Struthio camelus: one gene and its partner. The protein of the gene in region 2 binds, or shares a complex with, the protein of the main gene of each other region. Links are inferred from orthologs where the notes say so. Each region holds a gene or a part of one and is shown on either strand. Other genes may lie near its edges.

Evidence for each region. The genes of interacting proteins can lie anywhere in the genome.
Region 1: the proteins of CACNA2D1 (region 2) and CACNA1E are in contact, whole or in part, in a cryo-EM structure (PDB 8EPM), measured with the Homo sapiens proteins. The link is inferred for Struthio camelus from reciprocal best matches to the Homo sapiens genes CACNA2D1 and CACNA1E. Residues at the interface, in NP_001353796.1 of Homo sapiens: Thr170, Asp171, Tyr173, Ile233, Leu235, Ser261, Gly262, Ser263, Ser265, Gly266, Leu267, Lys270, Ala327, Lys328, Gly329, Ile330, Thr331, Glu366, Gln391, Asn393, Tyr394, Ile416, Gly417; in NP_001192222.1 of Homo sapiens: Gln110, Leu112, Pro113, Glu114, Asp115, Asp116, Lys117, Pro119, Arg122, Asn630, Phe631, Asn632, Asp633, Gly634, Ile1330, Gly1331, Asn1332, Val1334, His1336, Met1341, Val1343, Arg1346, Arg1393, Ser1394.

Annotation. Positions count from the first base shown.
Region 1 is NC_090949.1:6,979,917-6,987,046, reverse strand, and holds the start of CACNA1E (voltage-dependent R-type calcium channel subunit alpha-1E), read right to left. Parts: upstream 3,001-7,130; 5' UTR 2,866-3,000; intron 2,673-2,865; exon of another isoform or gene 2,438-2,672; intron 1-2,437. UniProt on the Homo sapiens protein: Voltage-sensitive calcium channels (VSCC) mediate the entry of calcium ions into excitable cells.
Region 2 is NC_090942.1:11,268,763-11,275,847, reverse strand, and holds the start of CACNA2D1 (voltage-dependent calcium channel subunit alpha-2/delta-1), read right to left. Parts: upstream 3,012-7,085; 5' UTR 2,558-3,011; coding exon 2,463-2,557; intron 1-2,462. UniProt on the Homo sapiens protein: The alpha-2/delta subunit of voltage-dependent calcium channels regulates calcium current density and activation/inactivation kinetics of the calcium channel. Plays an important role in excitation-contraction coupling.

The sequences.
Region 1 (7,130 bases), on a different chromosome or scaffold from region 2:
GAGCAAGAGCCTGGTAGCACTGATAGTGGTGATGGGGAGGGGGAAGAGGGGTGATTGTTTTCTCTTTTCAACTGTCACTAAAGTCATCAGTGTGGCTGTGAGTGATTCACACCAGTGTATGAAAAGCCTGTGACTCACAGTACTGGATGCAGTGGGTGGGTGCATTGACTCAACCACTCTGGGGAGGGGGCCCAGGGGGCTGCAGACTCACACATCCACAGGAGGATTTGTTCGCAGGGGGTCAAAGCCAACACTAGCCAGGAGACTTCCTTGGGGAACAGCGGTTACCACAAAGCACATCTGCTCCCCTGCAGACAAGCCACACTCACTCAGCCTTCAACCAGGGAGAGGTTTACTTTGTCCTGTGCAACAGGAGAGAAGGAAGCCCAGAGCTACTTAGACGAACACGCATCCCAAACTACTGCAAACAAACTTTATGGGCACTATAGGACCTCTGAGGAATGAAGAAAGTCAACCAGGCTAAGAGGCTCCCAAAGCAGCAAAAAGGGGAACTCAGCTCCCCGGGACAGCCTATTTTTGTGATCTTCTCCTCCACTCCCTGAAGCCAGAGACAGACAGCAAAGGAAACCAAGTCTTCCCACCACACTGGTGCTGAGAGCCCTGCCCCATGGCTTTGCAATGCCCTCCTGCACTGTGCCACCAGGAGAATCACATTGTTGAGACCCTCACGCTAGCAAACAGGAGGGACTTCCCACAGCTAGTTTGGGCAAGGGAAGTCAGGTCTCAAGTGCCTGGCCAGCACCCCAGCTGCTGCTTTGTACCAGCAGCGCTACCCAAACGCATGGAGGAGCAGGAGCAGAAGGGAATCTCTCCAAAAGACTCCCATTTGGATGGTGCTCTGTCTCCAATTGCTCAACCAGTGGCTGCATGCCCAGGGCTCTGGAGCAGCAATACCCTGGCCTTGCCAAAGATGCCATCAGCAGTCATCAGGGCTGCAAACGTGTGTCTCATCTCGCTGGCAATGCCTTCTGCAGCATCATGCCTCCTCTGCCAAACAGCCCCAGCACAGTGGATCCGGACCAGCCTGGAGTGTCACCACATCCCACAGCATCCTGAGCTGAGACCTCCCCATCTGCAGCATGGACAGACCAAGGCTGGCCTCACATCAGCACCTAAAGCAGGATGAGATCACCCACCCAAGAGGATGCAGCACATGGGAGTAGGCAGCATGGACAGGGTGTAAAGGAGCATATGCCTGCCCAGAATCCCTGGGGGAGAATTATTTCTGTCTCCCTCCAGCTACGTAAAAAACAGCAAGCCAAGAGCACCTAAACACACCCTCTCTGCAAGAAGCAGAAGCAGCCAGGAGAGCTACAGGAGCAAGACAAACAGCACCCTGATTTTGGGAACTGCTTATTCACCAACAGCCATCACCACTTCCAAGGTGGCACTGGTGGAAGACCCAAACTCCTGAGCAGCACATGGACCCACAAAAAAAAGTGCAGACCAGGTGCAGGGGAGATAACACAAGCCAGGTAGGAGCCCAAGGCCATCAGGCAAGGAAACCTGGGGGGAAAGCATGCAGACTGCACACTCCCAGCAGAGACCTGGTCTCCTCAGGGAAACCCAGTACATTTGGGAGGCCACAGGGGTAGCAGAGGAGTGGAGCGGGACCAAGCACACAGCCAATCCACCACTGGACAACAGATCTGCTCCAGTTTCTGAGGAAGGGCTCCCTAACAGAAACAAGGGTCTCAAGCATCCAAGGCAAGAGAAGAGATCTGCACCATCAGGGTTAGACACCCTGACCGAGCTCAGCCCACTCCATGGCCCCCCATACCCTCAGGTATGAAGCAGGGCAGCCACCATCCAGCACAGACCCACCCCCAAGCCCCTTTTCTAAAGGCAGCCAGCCAGGGTCCATGGGGGGACTCATCCTCCCCATGGCCCAAGCACAGCCCCCCAGCATCAGCAAAGCAGGAGCCAGGACAGCCGGGGAAGACCGTCACAAGCAAGCTTTAGAAGAGAAGCAAAGGCGCAATAGCTCCAGCCCAGCCACGCTCCTGGTCCCCACACACACCTGCTGCTCCCGCTGGGGTCTCCGGCAAGGCATCCGCTCCTCTCCTCTTCCCACCGCATCCGCACCGCTACACCCCAACCATCCCCCTGAGGAGCCAGCGATCCACCTTAAAATAACTGAATAGCCTCCACACACTCATAGGCTACCTTAATAAAAACTTTGTCAAACCAGAGCTTTTTCCAAAGCACAGCTGAACCCCAACGATGCAGACAAATCCTCTTTAAGAAAATATATATACAGGGAGTCCTTCTTAAAACTTGAGTCCCCCTGCAAAGAGCACAGCCTAATGCCCCAGTGCACGGAGGGAACACGGCAGAGGCGAGCGCGTCCACAGTGCAACCCCGCGCCAGGCAAGGAGACCCTCGGGACCGCGGACAGCGTGGGAAGACACCGCACCTTTCTCTCCACCCTGCCGCCGGCTCCTTTCCCAGTAGGTCTCCAAACCACGGCTTGCCCGAAGCAGCAGCATAGAAAAAACCCAGAGCATCCCTGGCAGCGAAGACAAAACAAAAGCCTTGGGAGAAGGGAGGAGAGGAAATGTCCACGGAGACCAAATTGCTGGAGGAGAGAAAAAGGAAGGAGGCAGCACCAGTTGACAGCAGCGGGAGGGGGGATTGTCTCCTGGAAGTATCATGGAAAAGGAGGGGCTGGAGCGCAAGAGCCAGCCGTTCCCCCAACAGGTAGCAGCGAGCGCCTGGCTGCCTGCGCTAGGTAGGGACGAACAATGCCAAAAAGCAAACCCGGCGTTACCTACTTTTGGAAAGCGAGCGAGAGCGCAGCGCATCCACCATCTCCACCAGCAGCAAGCGAAAGCAAGAGCTTACCTTGAAATAAAGGCATGGCTCCTGCACTTCGAGCTGGGTGAGGTCACGTATTATTCCAGAGACATTATTTGTAATATAAAGAGACAGAGGGGGGGAGAAAAGGAGACGGGGAGGGGGGCGGGGGGGAGACGGGAAGGGGGAGGGAGAGAGACAAGAGAAGGAGCAGAGGAAGGAGTGCAAGAGGAAAGGGGGAGGGGGGAGAAATAAAAAAAGGGAGAAAATAGAGACAGTTAAAATCTGTCTCCTGCCCACACAGTGGAAAAGAAATTTCTGACAATCGGAGAAAGGGAACTCGCACATATACCAGAGGGGGCAGCCGGGGAACAACAAAGAGGGAAGGAGCCGAGCTCCAGGCAGCGGAGGCAGGACCGTCCAGGCACAGCACGCACCGGGGAAGGGGCCGGGCCCGAGCCGAGCTGGCCACCGTTCAACTCCCAGGCTGGAGCTGAACACCCCACGTCCAGGACCTCTTAACAGGTTTAACATGAACCGACCCATTGCCCAGCAGACGCCCCTGTGCTCTCCCACCCATCTTCAGGTGGGACCAGGTAAGCACCAAGCGCCCACCAGGGGTGGGAGCCGGTGGCCACAGACCTGCAGGTCACCCAGCTCTCCCCAGCCTGGGGCTTTTCACATCTGCCTTGCTCTGAGCTCCCAAGGGAGCCGAGACCTCAACACAGCTCCTGGAATTTAACAAAATTAAAAAAATGCAAGTTTTCCAGCCATGCACCATGTTGGTGCAAAGGGGCCCCTGCTCCAACCCACACACCAGGCCGCCGCCAGCAGCCGGCTCCGCTTCGACCCGCGGCTGAAGCGGGAGCAGCAGCGAGGGGAGGCACACGGGGGGACGTGGCCCTCCCAGGGCTGCCGATGGCCGCCGCAGCTCGAGGCCTCCTCTTACACAGCCCAGAGCCCACGGAAAAAAATAAATCGCCGGGGAGGGTTGAAGCGACAGGCCGCAACTCGACATCGCTGCGGGTTCGCGCAGCGACCCTGCGGCCAGGCTGCCGAGCGGGACAGGCCCCACTGCGCGAGGTGGGGGACACGCTCAGTCGCCATGGCAACCACCAGCTGCCACCACAGGCAGGACGCGCTATGGCCCCCGGCCCCGCAGGCCCCTTGGGCAGCGGCACAGCCCAGCTCCCCTGCAGGCCCCCACACCCCAGCGAAGCTCAACAGGCAGAAAAAGCCTGGAGAGGAGCGCTGCGTTTCAACGTCTCCTCCAGCGTCCGGGCTCCCTCGGGCGCTGCAGCCCTCAACCCTTGGAGTCCCTCTACCATGGCCTCTGCCAGGGGCAGGCCGCTTCCCTCCCCATCGGGACATCCAGCTCCAGCGCAGGAGCGGGCACCGGGACGGAGGCAGAGATGCCCTCCGAGAGGGCGCCCCACTGGCTCCAGCGCCCTTCGTCCCAGCCCTGCCCGACCCCATCATGGCAGCCGGCCTGGACACAAAGGCAGCTCCTTCCCACCAGGGACGGGCTCAGGGTCTTTGTTAAGAAACATATATATATATATATGTTGAACGCCGTCAGTTGGGGGCTGGAGATGCTTTGCATTAGGCTGTCTCCATGGTTACCTGGCGGCGGTGGGAGCGGGGGTAATTGAACTCTGGGGGTTCACCGTGCGACACGCGTCTCGCGCTCCCTCTTTCCCTGCGTTTCCACGCACACCAGCCCCGCTTTGCCTTCCCCAGTAAAAGCCGAGGCAGCGCCAACCATCGCTTTTCGCTCCTTCAGCAGGAGGCGGCAAGGCGAGGCTCCCCAAGAGCTCGTTACACATCTAATTCTGCCAGCTGCACGGATGATTAGACACAAATGCAGATTAGCTTCCCCATCCCGAAAGAGAAGACAACCCCGATCCGCGCAGACACGAAACCAAGCTTCTCCTCCCACCACCCCGCGCAGCTACGGCTAGACAGCAGCGCGATACAGCGAGAGACAGTCAAGATCAGCGCTGACATCCGGGCAGCTTTCGTCTCGGGGGAGCGAGCGAGCAGCAGAGGCAGCAGCACCCACCCGCCAGCGCCTCTCTGCACCCGACTGCCACGCTCCCACCAGGCAGGAGCCCGCACGCACCCCAGAGACCTCCTGCGCTCACCTCCCTCGGCCACGCAAACACAGAGAGCAAAGGAAGCGCCGAGCGCCCCGGGCAGCCCCCGAGGTGCTGTCTGGAAAGGTTTTGCCTGTGCAAAACCACAAAGCAACACATCCCAGCTCAACCCAGACAAGCATCTTTAATAAACACATGAGCATCCAACTCCGCTCCACCAAACGCGGCTTCCTGGGAGCGCCCATCGCCCAGGGCCTCAGCCCGCTTCCCCAAATCCCACCCTGCATCATTTTGCAGACACTTCCTGGGCTTGATCTATTTTCAGTGCCCACTTGCTAAGCTTATTCCTGCACAGCAGCGCTCCCCAAGTAACCTAAAGGACCTGGAGCTTTGTAATAGTGCTTTTCTTCCTGGCGAGCACAAAAGCCCAACTAGCTTTCCTCCTCCCCCTGCATGTACAGCCACAAACACTGCAGATGCAGACTAATTGGAGAAAGTTCAGAGGGCAGCAAAGAGCCATGCAGGGCAGCAAAACATGGCCTGCTGGAAAAAGAGTGAAAGAACCAAGTTTTAGTCAGGAAATTAGGAGGCGGAAGACAGACATGATAGCAAGCTTCAATTATGTAAAGTGTTGCTACAAAGGTAGATGAATAAATCGTGCTCAATCCCCACTGGGGACAGTACAAGGAGTAATGGGCTGTAAATTGTAAATTAGACACTGGAAAAAACTCCTAATAGCAAGATGAGTTAAGCATGGGGATAAAACCCAGCAGCTCCCCAGCAGTCTAAGAGCTGGCCAGACAAACCCTGATCAAGAACCATCTGGATAAAGCAGGTCCCATTTGGGACCAGGGAAGGGACTCTATCCTCTTGAAAGGTACCTTCCTGCCCTACTACTTTGCATTCAGGAGCCACTTTGGGCTAGCTCTGCTTTGGTTTCTGCCCAGTGCTACTGGACTTGCAGCTTTATACTGCCCTGATCCATGCACAGCTCTTTCCCACTCCCACGCCTGCCCCAGGTCTCCGCCTGCCTCCAGCAGCTGCCATTCCTCTCCATGCACAAGGCTCCCCCACCAAGGTGCCTCCAGCACAGAGGAACCACGCAACAGCCAACACATCTCAGTCAAGCAGAAACCAGTCACCATCTCAACCCCGCCAGAGTCAGCATGGGACCCCATAGACCTGCCCCACTCCCCATGTCCTCCATCCCGCACGTGCACCATCCCCACTGGGAACAAGACAAGGAGTAGCGGGCTCCAAATTGTAGATTAGACACTAAATAAACCAACTCTTTACAGCAAGGTTATCTTGCCTGTCCTGAGCAAAACCAGATGAGCTCCAGCCCTTTGCTTAGCAGTCCCACACAGTTAGCAAGCATCTCTTCTCAGCAGACCTGAAGCCAAACTTTCTCCTTTCAGAACATCACCTGTTTTCTAACTTTGCCTAGAAGAACTAATTTTTGTTGTGTAACACTGCACTGCCTCTGGGTCATCTTTAGGAAAGTTTAAAAGAATTTTCTGTGTCAGGAGATGCCATTCATTTTTTAGCTAGAAACAGGTATGTCTTGTAAGAGTTTCACACTCAGAATTGCTTTTCAGTTGATCTGTTTATTGTCCTGCTAAATAGGCACATCGGTATTTTAACAGAAAGAGCCAAGAGGACACTAGGCACAAGCCAGCTAAAAGCATTCTTAAAAATGAAGCAGCCATGGATATTGATATTGAGTAAAGCCTCAAATCCAGCAGAGAACTGCTGCTGAAGGTGCAAACACATGAGCTGGTGGAGGGTCAGCTGGTACCATGCAGTGCTGAAGGGAGAGCCCAGCTGGGAAGCCACACAATCCCCGCACACGAGGATGCGCTGCTCAAAAAGGGATCTGCAGCTTCCATAAGGAGCAGGAATCACATAGGGATTTCTACACTGCTTCCACAGCTGGCAACCTCTGAGACCTGGAAATTACCTCTGGAGAAGGAATAATGCCTTTCAGGAACGACCAAAGGCTACCACAATGCTGCATGGATGTCTTTGCTAAGGTTTGTTTCTGAGGGCCTGCATATGCAAGAAAATATGTGCAAAGTCTGTTTAATAACAGAAGAGTCTATGAAATTTAAAACATTTTTCATTAGACTTACTCTGTCACAACAATATGATCACTACAGCTAGGACTGACAGGGAAAAGATTAGCCTTAATTTTAACTTCCCTTTTTTATTTAAAAG
Region 2 (7,085 bases):
TTCAACTAACTCGTGAAAGAGAGAAAAATAGACTGAAAACAATGAGAAAAAAGTAGACAGCTAAGTACATAATATCAGTTAACCTTTGGTTCTTCAATTGTTAATACCCTTTCTCTCCTTTATTCTCTTTCTCCTGAGGTTTTTTTTCCCCTGTATTTAATATTTTTAAAATACAAAATCATTCACGCTATGGGCACTCCTATTCGTGTCACTTCTCTTTGTTCTTCCTCATTTGTAATCTATAGCAGGAAACAAAATACCACTATCAAGTGCTGAAAGAGAATCATAAAGTTGTTTTGTTTCACCTGTTACATCACTACTTTTTGCAAAGCAGCTGTCCCCCTTTATCAACCTGTTGTGCTGCCTCCTAAATGAACCAAACCTTATTTGCACTTCGATTCAACTTCAAGGGGGAAACATTACTATGAAGGATGGGCAGGCCCTGTAGATTGCTCCTACAATATTTCAATAGAATAAATAATAAGAAAAAAGAAAACTAACAGTAAGCAGATTGAGTGAAACACAGGATGCTGTAGACTAACACAGTATTCTGAATCCCTTAATCATAGATATACTTTATAATTAGAGTCCAATTATAAAATACTTTGCCCTGCTGACAGTTCCTATTATCATGACTGACAGTAAAGGCAAATTCTGAATGGAAGTAGCATATATGGACAGAAGGAACAATGAAAATCTTAAAGAAATGTGTAATGTTATAATAAAAGTGAGCTAGAGTTCTATTTGAAACTATAAAATCTTCTTTTTATTTCGATAAGTTCCATATTTCTTTCCCTTTTAAAATTAGTTAAATACATATAGGATAAAGTGTGATTACTTTTGTATAGTATACTTTACCAATTCAATAAGAAACAGTCAAATGCAGGAGATCAAACACATGAAAAGCACTGATTTAAAAAAGCCCTAGCTTTGCATTTTCTCATTCTTGCTTTCACGTGGCACATCTTTATAAATTACAACAAAATATATTTTTTAAAGATAATTTTCCCTTCAATTAAAGTCTACATTTATTCACTTAGAAGATACTAAGTGGTTATTTTACACTTATCTTTGTATTCCCTTCTTTCATTTAACAGTACAAGCATCCCTTTGAGTCATAATGGAACCGATACTCGGAACTGAATCCAATTATAACAACCTACCCACAGTACTAATTGGTGAAAATGCATTGCTGGTAATTGCTGTAAACTCATCCTTGTACACATAATGAACAAGGGCAATAAATTCTATCTAGCGTTAAACAATAGGGAAGACTACCATTAGCACTGTTTTTCTTATGTAAAATGCATTAAAGTGAGTCATCCACTTAGAAGTTACCTACTGATAGCTTTAACCCAGATTCTGGGACTAAGTAAGTGCTGCTAAGTGCTTCCAAAAAAATAAGGCGAGAAAGAGGAAAGAAAAGAAGGCCGAAAACACAGTCACTAGTCCATCGTATTTATTATTGTTTCTAAATCTATAGCTGAGCCTGAAATATGATGTACTGGATTATTTCCCCCCCTTTTTTTTTTATTGCTTGCCTTTCACCATATGATCCTTGCACTGCTCTGGGCAACACTTTCATGCTAATGAACATGCAGTGCTTTAAAGATTTCTATCTTACAGTCATGCAAACATAGAGCTGCTTGAAGCAGGAATATTCATCAGACCTCGGAAAGGCGATTTTGATAAGTAATGATCTGCGAGGCCAGCCCTTAGGCTTGTTATTTAGCTGTGTTGCTTTAAGCATGCTAGCGAGGGTCTGCTTTTGCACACGCGTGCGCACACACGCAAAACCACACGAACAAACACATACATAAAACAAACCCTGGAACTGTCAAAATATTCGTGGTGTGCCCTGGAAAATATCCAGGTAGGAGTGAGCTGAAACGTATATTCACAACTCAAAGCAACGCTGTCCTGGCTGTTTTGCAAGCCTGCCTGAGAGAGGCAAGAAAATCTATTATTTCTTGCGTTATTTCAAATGAAATTGCTAAAGTTTTGGTTTTTTCCTCCTCTTGTTTTTTTTTTTTTTTTTTAAACTCCCTCCTCCAAGAAATAGCGTCAAAACTCCAGCCAAACTGAAATAACCTTTGTGGGAGGAGGGGGCGGGCTCTGTGTAACTCGAAACTTTCCTCGCAGCCCAGCTCCCAACTGTTGGGGGTATATTTAGAGCCGGGCTGCGGCGCTCAGCCCCACGGTGCAGCCGCGGGGCCGGCAGCGGGGCACTCTCCCTCCTGCCGGGCCGCGCCTCGGAGGAGGCTGGCGGACACCCTGCCCCTTTTTCCCCAACAAAAGCAGCCGAAATCCTGCCGTTTGCCCTCACCGCCACTTTCCAGGCGGACTTACTTTATTTGCCGGTATTCTGTATTTTCGCCGCCGCCCGCGCCGCCGCCCCCGGCGGCCGCCGCCGCCCCCCGCGCCCCGACCCGGCCCGACCCGACCCGGCGGCGGGCACTTACGTGGTGGCAGAGGGGAAGGGTCCTTCCGAGGAGTGGTTCATCACCAGGGACTGGAAAAGTGTCAGACTAAAGACTAGCAGCCAGCCAGCAGCCATCTTCCTGATCGAAGATCGATTCCCCCCTTCCCCAAGTCGGCGAGGCGGTAATAACGAGAAGAATAAATGAAATTACTGCCGGGGGTGGGGGGGGGGAGGCCCCCGTTGTTTTTTAAAGCCTCCTCCGGCCCACCCCCCACCCCCTCGCAGGCGCAGCCCGGCGGTGCGCGGAGAAGAGGGAGCGCGGCTCTGGGTGGGCAGGAGGAGGAGGAGGAGGAGGAGGAACGATGGAGAGCTGTGGGTGGAGAGGGGGAAGAGGAGAAAGAGAGAAGAGCGAGCGATACTCCGCTCTGCGCTACTCCAGCAGCAGCTCCGGCTCCATCTGATCCGCCGCCATCAGAGCTACTTTTGTAACAGATCCCCGCTCACTCTGCGCGCCTGTGTGTCCGTCCCTGATTTATTCCCCTGATTGCAGAGTAGAAGGAGGAGGGCGGGAGGCGGGAGGCGGGGTGGGGGCTCCTGGAGGGAGAGAGGAGGAAAGAAGAGTTGGGGAAAGGAGGGGAGGGACGGGGGGGGGGAGGCGTTTGCCGGCTTCCCTGCGGCGAGCGGCGCAGCGGGCGCGGGGGCGGGCGCGGGCGAGCCGCGCTCCCTACAAGGCAGCCGCGCAGCTCCGCGGCAGCGCGCCGGGGGCCGCGGAGCCGCCCCAGCCCGGGGGGGGGGGGGGGGGAACAACCGCGCCCGCGGAGCCGCGCCGCGCTCCCGGCCGCCGCCCCGCGCCCAGACTTCGTGCCGCACCTCGGAGCCTCGCGGCCGCTATTTTTAAACGCGCTTCGTGCTTTATTTTAATCCGCCTCCCCCCCCCCCGCCACCACCGCCACCACCCCCCTGCTGCCCTTTAAGCAGCAGCCTCACACGGCGAGGGAATCCGTGTGCCGCCAATCTGGAGTGCGTTACATACATACGGATATGTGTGTGTATATATATATATATATATATATATGGGGGGGGGAGGTTAAGCAAAAAAGAAAAGACGCTCCCTTCCCTTTCGGTTTCAGGACCGGCGCTGGGGTGCGCGCGGTGCGGCTCCGCGGGCGCCCGCGGGGGCTGCGCGCCCGCGGAGGAGCTGCCCCCGTGGAGCGCTCGGGGAGCGGGGCGCGCACCGGGGTCCTCGGAGCGCGTCCCTGCCCCCGCCGCGCCTCTCACCCAGATACTGTTTTCAGACTCCTTTGGAAAAATCAGAAGGCAGATTCCTCTCCCAGCCTTTATTTTATCCGCCGTCACGTATCCCATCGCTGTGGCGGCTATATATTGGCCCTACAAATGGAGAAAGTGATCCGGGGACCTATTTCTTGGTTATTTAGTAAAGCAATTAAAAGTTCAGTGAAATTTTTGATTTTCTTTATGATCTGGGTTGTTTTTTTTTCCTTTCTACATTTTTTGTAATTAATCCAACAGGTGGAAATAAATATGCAGACCTGGTATTCATGTTGTTTCCATTCCTACTGTATCTGAGGGTCTCCTAATCTTGACTGTATTAATTCACAGCTATTTCTGTAAAACTAAAAAGTGCTATCATTTCTATTTTAAAGGTGACAGAAGGACCAAGGCTGAGCTCCACAAATGGAGAATTACATGTTCACGTTGCCCAGGCACCAAGCCAGCACAGTATTTCAGTTGCAATCTGTAAACGGGGTAGTCACTCTCCTGTAGTGTTTCTGGATTGGTGCTGGCAGTCTGGAGATTGTGGGCAGAACTACCAACATCTTCACCTACCCACCTACCTGCAGCTATGTAGGATTTAGAGTTTGGAGGAGAGTCCAAAATAGCAATTTCTGAAACAGTACTGAAGCCTGCAGGCTCGTTCGGAGGGTACCTGTCCTCCTGCACGTGTAGGTCTCCGTAGGCTTCACGGTTAGCCCACATCAGGTTGCCCTGGTGCACTCAGCTGTCACCACTCGGGTGCATACCTCAGCTTTCCAAAACGGGCGTAAGGCGCGGATTGCTGTGCCTGTGCCATGAGGTACGAGTGGCGACTGCAAGTCTGCTGGCATGCGGTAAGCTGAAGGTCCTGCTTCACGTAGGACACGTCTAAATGAGACCACAGAGTGGGGAGAGACTTGGGGGAGTGGAGTACAGGACCAGAGAAATGCGAGTACACGGAATAACGAGAGTGTGCCAAGGCAGAACATGGAGCAAAGGCACGGAGGTAAGAGGCTGGAAAGGCATAGGGAGTTGAGGTTGCCAAAAACTATGGCAAGTCTACTTCGTAGAGTACAGCTTAAGGCAGTTCCTCACTCCAGGGGCCCCACACTGTTTAAGGGTAGCACGTTCCAGTATCTAAAGGGGATCACTTCAGTTAGGAACATGACTGTTCCCCAGATCCCACTGCTTCCGCTCCTTGCAGGACTGAAGGTCAGCCCGATTTCATGCCTCACCTGCGCAGGGGTCCCCAAGCTAGACGTTCCTCTGTTAGTGGTGTCCTGGCACCCCTGCGGCTTCACGGTGGGTCATGCAGAGATAGGAATGACACTGGCAACACTCATTTGGAATAAGGAGTTTATTCCTTATACTCCCCTCTGCCCTTCCCTACCGCAAGGCCACCACAGCCACCCAGGATGCCCAGGAGAGCTTGTGTGGGGCACACGGCGGGAGAGTGCTCGCACTCAATGCACAGCACTGCACCAGGGTCCCCGGAGGCCCACAAGCTGCTCACCAAGCCATAGCCAACAGACTGGGAAACAGGTACTCTCCACTCCTCTGGCTGCTGTGTGCACGCGTGAAAGGATGCGTCTGTTGGTCGGGGAGAGAGGGCACAACTGCCTGTGCAAGCCCAAGTGGGAGATGCTTTCAGCGGGCGCCAGCGGCTAGCGCTCGCTAGAGCAAGCGAGACTGAGCTCCCCTCCCTCGGGCACACTGTTTCTGCATACACCATAGCAAACAAAGATCAAAGAATGATAACATAAAACACCGGTAAATCCAGGGGCACAGTGTTACACAGGAAGAATTTCTTCACCATTTGTATAATTTTCTCTACACCCACATATGTGATGCTGCATTCATCATTTACAGAGCTCCTCAGGGCGATGACTACTAATAATAATTTGAACCCCACTAGCACATGACTAGCAGTGCAACAGTGCAATGCATGAGTGTGGGGGCACCCCATCCAGTACAGTAAGGTCCAGATCGGAAGTCTTTCAGCAGTACCAAAACATTGTTATGGTAGCTGAAATGCGAAAAGGATGTATTACTGTTTTTAATACAGCAGTACTTGAAGTATCAAGACTACTGTGCTAAATATTTACAACTATATAACAAGACTCCCAGCAAGGTACCAATCCTGCAATGAACTCCACATAGATGAAAGTGCCTGTCTGCATGGAGCTCGCTGAAGCTCTGGGATGAAGAAGATGAGAGAGGATGTCTGTGCTGCAGCATGGAGGAGAAATGCCCAGGTTACCTCTAAACAGGCTAATTCAGGTGCAAGGAGCAGCGTGAACTGGAACAGAAGCGTGGAACGCAACATGGGTTACCTCTGGGGATCTCACGGGAAGGCTCAAATCTCCAATATGCAACCCAAGTTCAGCCTGCAAGCTTTACAAGATTTACAAGTAAGCTTGGACCTGAGCCCAGCTTTGAGACAACCTGGAGTCAAATAACAGTTTTCCTTCAGAATTACGTGAAGCTTGGAGCTGACTTTTGAATTTTTGCATTTACTCGAGTCTGAAATGCAGAAAATCAGTGCCACCCTGAAGCAAAGAGAAGAAAAGATTGCAGAAGCTCCAGGAGTAATGTATTGTTTACTATTATCTCACTCCTTATACTCCATGTATCTATTTATGCCTTAAAAGTGTGTTTATTTACAAGGCAATTAATAAGGCTGCATAATGTTTACAAGTATTGACCTAACCCTACAAACGTGTGGATAAGAGTAATTGTACTCAACTGACTTCCCACGAGCTTTGATGGGAAGGTAAGGCTGACTTAATGCATAATATTTGCAGAACTGGGATTCTTGGTATTGCCTCATATTCCCGTAATGCAGAAAAAAAGTCCATTTTTGTCATGAAATTTCGAAAAGCCACTAAAACCTCCTAAGTGACTAATTTATTAACATTTGATGATTACATTCCATATGCAGTCATGCTTTGCAGTATTTTAAATATTTGATTTCAACTTACAATAATGTTGCACCCCTGATATAATTTATCTGTGTTAAGGTTCCTAGAGATCTATTATGGCTGACAAATCTTCTTTTTTAAGTACTTGAATATGGACTTGAATGACAAACCACAGATGTAAATCTTTCTTCATTCTTATTTCACCTCATTGTAAATTTATCACCCGTCGTATCTGGCTGAGACCTTTCTGTGAAGGAGCATATGACTGACAGGGATTAATATATGGACAGGGGTCTTACAAAAAGTATCCTCTGCACCTACTGAAATTTCTGGGAATCTTTAAATTGACCTTAGTGGTCCTTATTTCGGAAATAAAATTTATTATTGAAAGATACGGCATTTATTTTGCATCAAAGACTTCTTCTAAATTCAGTATATCAGTAATGAGTATGAATTCATGATCAAGC